2 separate regions of the Mus musculus genome follow, and region 2 is reported to be linked to region 1. Evidence: microRNA targets listed by miRTarBase, many of them from high-throughput screens and not tested one by one. Region 1 holds a microRNA gene; the other region holds the end of a gene's coding sequence.

Region 1 (3,152 bases):
CCCTCTTAGAGGACCTCCCAGCTTGTTTTCTGGGGTTGCTGCCTAGCAGGTGCTCGACACTGTCCTCCTGGCCCAGGACTCTTCAGAAATGCCTGGTCAACTTTTCTAAGTATCTGATAAACTAACAAAGGTTCTTAGATTCATCTGATTAATAGAGGCCATACCACTCTGGTAATGGTTTCAATAGAGGCAATATTGCCTTGATACTTGATATTTAATATCAAGGCCAAGAATTTCCTAAGTCATCTAGGGCAAATATGTAATACTGGCACAGTGTCTATGTGATAGATGCTACCAAGTCTCCTGTAAAATTCAAAGTCTCTTTTAAGATCTCTGGAAGCCCAGAGTATCTCAGCAGAGTCACATTCAAGACGGCAACTTTCCCCAGGTTTATGTACATTTTAATATCAGACCCTGAAAGACAGAAGAACTATTGAAAACCAATGGTATGAGCTTATAGGACCAACCCAGGTGACAGGGAGACGAGGGAACTTTCTAAGTCTAAGGTGCTCTCTGTGCACTCCTATACTCCCTGCATTTCTTCCATACCAAGAGCCTACTGTCCACAAAGTAATTCTGCTCCATTCAGAGTGAAAGGCTGTCTTGGTCCACTTTCAACTACAAAAGCGAGTGACAGAAACACATGCTATTTCCTAGCTGGCATACAAAAATAATAGTTGCACTGACATTCCTTCCACACATCTGATATTAAAATATACATAACTCAGAAAATGCCATCTTGAACATACAATCCCGAACCTCTGCCATGATGCCAGAGATCTTGTTAGAGCTTTTTAACTCTGGCGTGGTCTCAGCAGCATTTATCTCCTAGAACCCATGCTGCTACTAAGTTGTGGAACTAGAAACTAGATGACTTAAATTGGGACGTGTTAAATAATTCTTGGCCTAGAGACTAAGGAAAACCATCATGAAGGTGGTATTAGCCTCTATTGATCAAATGAATCTGGGACCCTCTGTAGGAGGGAAATTCAGAAAAGATGTAGGGGAAAAAGGTTTTAACTAAATGGAAAATTGTAATTCTTAAAAACAGTGATTTAGGTAGGCATGGTAGGACATGCCTGTAATCCTATCAGAAAGGAAGTCCCATGAAAACAGGAGAGTCTTGACTCTGAAGCCAGCCTAGATCATATAGCCAAGAACCTGTCTCCAGGTTCTTGATAGAGTGATCCAAAAAAAAAAAAAAGCTGTATTATTATGTAAACGTGTGTGTGTGTGTGTGTGTGTGTGTGTGTGTACAATTCAAAGGAAATACTCTCTGACAATTACATTAGGAAAAAACTAAGTTCTTCCCAAATTCTTGAAGAATTTTCTAGAAGATATGTTTACTCCTTTGTTGACACTCAACTTTTGGACTCAAAATGGGCTTCCAAACAAAAAGAAATAGAAAAGTTCATTCTAGCTGGACATGGTAATGCATGCCTTTAATCCCTAACTTGAATGGTGTATGTATGTAGTCAGTCTCCAAAAATAAAATGTAAAACTGGGATAGAACCATTGACTTCAAATACCTCTTTAATTTGTTCCTTCTTTGTCAAGTCAAAAGAAGCCTTTAGTAGGGCGAGATCTTCCTCGAAAGTTGCCCAAGACATCAGTGCTCTTTGCAGTGTGGCCTTCGTGTTATGGATGTATTGTCTGCACGAGTGAACATTCTTTTCCAGCATCATATACTCCTCTCTAATACTCTCACATTCTCTGGCTGCATCAGCAAAACAAACAAAAACAACAAGTCTTACAAAACGGTTTTTGTTTGTAACTGATACTAAGAAAATTATTTGCATTAACCAACAAGCATGTTGCCTAACAATATTAAAAGCAAAAGAAAGGAAAGCAGGGATGAAAACAGTTAATGTCCAAACCATCAAAGTAAAACAATACTCATCTTGAAATGATAGCTGACCCATTAAAAAGCAACTAGGATACTTTACCCGAGTTCTTATACATTTCTTCACATTTTTGAAAAGAAGCATCAAGTTGAATTAGGAACTTTTTTTCTCCAGTAAATTTCTGTGAAGGAGAGGCAAAAAAATGTTGACAGATTTTACTTTTGAAAATGTGCCAAGAAATCCAGATGTCAGTATGTGATGTCAGTAAAGGGCAAGGTTGCCAGCAATGTTTGAGTATTCAATACCACCACACTGCAGCAGCAGAAATGGAAGGAATGGTTCAGGAAGGGTGGCTAGGACTTAGGAGATGCAAGAGCACAATGACACAGGGCTATCACAGCAGATTCACCTTAACATAGCCATGTGACTTTACACTGCGTCCAGCTGATGGGAAAAAGCAAGTTTATCAGTCATAGCAGATCCAAGCCTTCCAGCTCGTCCGTCTTAGTAACATTGTGTAACTGTGTCAATAGCTTAGGCTTCCCAGGCCTTATTCACACTAATTAGTAAGTCTTCATTAGCTACATTAGGTTACTTTTTCAGAAGCTATCCCCACCTGCACAAAGAAGGCTGTGAAACTATCATTAACTAATTCAGCTGTGGAAAATCCTGGGGCTAACTCAGAGCCGACTCTAAACCGCCTGTTTATTATATTAGCGGTTCTCAACCTGTGGGTTGCATAAGACCATCAGAGAACAGATATTTACATTACAATTCATAACAGTAGCAAAATAACAGTTATGAAGTAGCAACAAATAGTTTTATGATTGGGGGTCACCAAACGTAAGGAACTGTATTAAAGTGTTACACCATTAGGAACGTTAAGAACCACTGATTATATTCTTATTTTGTGCTAGCTAACTACTATGATTACTGAACCAGTGAAATGTAAATCCAAAGCTGGGCATGATGGCACACTCCTGTAATCTAACACTTACAGGAGAATCGGGAGTTCAAGACCAACCTCATTACATATGACCCTATCTCAAAGTACAAATGAACAAACAAAAGCCCAGAAAAAAAAAACAAAACAAAACTTCAGAGAAGACAAAAAGTTATATGTAGTACTGTTCTCCATGTTTTATATATAAATAAAACCTAGCCCAGTTTAGAATGATGCCTCCAATTTGGAAGAGCATAATATTTAAATGATCAATTATAAACAGATATGTATGTCTTCATCATCCTCTTCCATTTCCTTGAAACTTATAATTTTGAGTTTTTCAAGTCTCCCCACCCTCCCTTCCC
Region 2 (3,000 bases), not on the chromosome of region 1:
CAGCACATTAGCCTGTAATGGACTCCGATTTCTAAGATTCACCTTCAACGTTGCCCATTCAGAATACCACAGTTAGAACTTAGGAAGAGGAGTGGCCAATTGTGTGACTAAGGTTATAAACAAGAAGGGGCTGTCGGCATACTGTCTATTTTATGGTTCACAATCATTTTCTTTTCCTAGGATTATCAGACTTGGCTTGACCTCAGAGAATTTGAAACTCGCATTGGAGAACGTTACATTACACACGAAAGTGATGATGCTCGCTGGGAAATACACGCATACACGCACAATCTGGAATACCCAAAGCATTTCATTATGGCCCCCAACCCAGACGACATGGAGGAGGATCCTTAGTTGTCAGTGCGCCGACCTCAATAAGGAAGGATTTCACTTCAAGAGCGGATACTTTGCTGCATGGCTGGTGGCCTCTGCAGGCTACCATTGCAAGGCGGCAGCACCGTGAGGAAGTAGAAGGACTTGTGGCATCAGTTCTGTAGCTCATAACGAGTAGGTACATGAAGGGAAACTGAGTAATAAAGTCAAAATGGAACTTCTATAAATTTTTATAGCATAAGCAATAACTGGTTCTGTAATTTTTCCTAATCCTTCACATTAGCACAATGTGAGTTAGCACTTAATTTATCTCTTTTACCTCTCCTTTTCTGTTATTACATCATTTGTTTTAAAGGCCTATGACTGTCTAGTTATTGCTTATAAGGTTGATTACTCAACAGGTTTGCAGTTAAGCAGTAACCATGAGGCTAACAGCATACAGCTTGCTGTAAGGACCTTTAGTGTTTGTCCACTGTCGGAGGCATTGCTTCCTCCTTCCTGGACCCGATAAGCAGACCATTGTACTGCTGGCCTTCCGGTGGATGCGTCTTTCCATATGGCCTGTATGACAGAAGAGTTGTCACATTTTCCATGTTATAACAGTCACTAGGATAATCGAACAATTGGTGTTACAAATGAATAGAAATAGCTGGTCATCACTCAGCTCTGCCTCTGAACACGTATGTTCTCAATTGGCACCATCATGTTACAGTATGCCACAGTCGGTGGGCACAACGCTGCATTTAACTAATTTATCCTCACCTGGAGTTGAATAATGTATAGACAAAATCACATACTAGAGAGGGAAGCTAACACAGGTCAGTAGATGTCACTGTTATCTGTTTCCTCTTCCCTTGGCCTTTGGATGGGGTTTCCAATACCTAGTGTTTTTAAATTAGCATTGTCGTTTGAGCAGTTTGGAGGAGTGACTGAAGTCAAACATGAAAACTTAGTTTATTGAGGTGGGACCTAATTACCAGTAGAGCGGATGGAGAAGGAGTAAGAACGTCTTACACTTCAGCTCCAACAGCCAGCTGTTTTGTAGTAGTTATTAATACAAGGTCAGTATCCCTATCTGAGCTGCTCTACACCAGGAAGGTTTCACTGCCAGATACTGAAATGTTTGCACACTCTACTAGTTGAGCATCCCTGACCTACAAATCCGAAATCCTCCAAATTCAAGAAACTTTGGAGTCCTTCAGATTTCCACATTAGTGATATTCCCACCTGTGCTTTACCCAAAGAGAAAAAGATCCAGGACCATCCTCTCACAAGAAATATAGTAGCTGTTTGTTTCTTCATTCCTCACTAGTCACAAAAAAAAAAAAACAAAACAAAAACAAAACAGGTTTTTCTTGTTGTTTTTCCTTTTCTGTGCTGAGAGCAAGAATTTGGAATGAGAAAGCCTGGGTTTAAGCCTAAGTGTCTTTACTCTGTGGATCTGTGGGGCTGAGCAGATAACATTGTCTGAGCATTTGTTTGACTTAGTTTCTCAGTCTGTAGAGTAGACACCATAAATTCTTCCTTCTGCCTTCCTCCATGTGGCTGTGAAGATTGGGCTATGTGACCACTTGTGACAATCTGGAATGCCAGGGTTGTCGCTTACCACGGGCTCTGAGATAGCAAAGGAAAAACTGTGTGTGTGAGCAGACCAAAACTAAGTGCCATCCCAGATGAGAATGCAGCTGCAGTGATCTGTCTAAAATTAAAAATGTTCTTGAGGTGACAGAAACAGCAGGGGTGCCCGGTTGTAAATGTTTATGCTTTGAACTGTCCTCACAATAGTCACATGACTAAGCACACTTAAAGTTGAGGCACAGGGTTAGTTGTCAAAGTGCATTGAGTTTAAATATGGATTTAAACCCAGGCCTATATCCCCAATCCCTTTACCCGTCCCAGCCATTGACAATGTACTGTACATCTGTAAGAATTTCCAGAAGACTTTCCAAACTGTCTCTGTAATTGTTTTCATACAGTAGTTGTGAAGAGTAATTTTAAGAAACTTCTAAGAATGGATTTTTCCATTTCTGCTAAGTCTGCTTGACCAGTATGTACAAGGTGGAACTCGTGTGTGTCACTAGGCAGCCCACGGTGGTTTTACCATGGGAGGTGAGAACTAACTGAAATGACTGCTGGTTTGCTGTACTTCTGTAATCAGACTTTACAAGCCATGACATTAATTGCACTCTGTTTTTGTCAAAGCCCTGTGCTGTTTAAAGAGAGACTGTAAAGGCGCTGTCACGGTGCGGAGTTGAGTAACCACTCCACTGTTTAACCTGCATAACTTTTTGTCATTGTCTTAAAGCCAAGCTGTGTTTGCATATATGAAAGTAATTGTTTCTTAGAAACATGTGACAATTTTCAAAGTAGTGTATAATGACACTGTTTAGTACATTTTATATTTTTTGTTACATCCCACTTTTTGTAAATATTCTCAAAACTTGATAATAAAATGTATTTCTCTATCACCATACTTTCCTATGTGAAAACCTTAGACCATCTCTAGTATAAGGATCTCAAGAGAGTTGTATTTGGTTATAATATTTTCCCCGGGCCTGAGTAACAGGAGTTTTTTTGTAAATATAGCCAATGCTACATGAGCACATATATATTTATATATCCTCTGTGAAAGACAACCCTTTAAAGTCATTTCAGGTGTATACTGCA

Evidence for each region. The annotated mature microRNA mmu-miR-5101 reads UUUGUUUGUUUUGCUGAUGCAG and lies in region 1 at 1,718-1,739, opposite strand. An mRNA with a match to its seed (bases 2 to 7 or 8) in the 3' UTR can be bound and repressed. Matches are read on the target gene's strand: a 7mer-m8 pairs with bases 2 to 8, a 7mer-A1 pairs with bases 2 to 7 and ends in A, and an 8mer does both.
Region 2: the mRNA of Prkd3 is a reported target of mmu-miR-5101. Seed matches in the 3' UTR shown: 7mer-A1 at 1,660-1,666, 7mer-A1 at 1,665-1,671 and 7mer-A1 at 1,671-1,677.

The regions. Positions count from the first base shown.
Region 1 is chr12:75,907,741-75,910,892 of GRCm38, reverse strand. It overlaps Mir5101 (microRNA 5101), which reads right to left and starts at 1,790; the gene lies at 1,708-1,790. Syne2 (spectrin repeat containing, nuclear envelope 2) reads right to left here. Exons shown (of 116, transcript NM_001005510.2): 15 at 1,947-2,025; 16 at 1,530-1,717.
Region 2 is chr17:78,949,211-78,952,210 of GRCm38, reverse strand. It overlaps Prkd3 (protein kinase D3), which reads left to right. Exons shown (of 19, transcript NM_001171004.1): 19 at 181-2,806. The coding sequence ends at 354. Among named protein-coding and RNA genes, the nearest start is that of Ndufaf7, 14 kb to the right of the region's middle.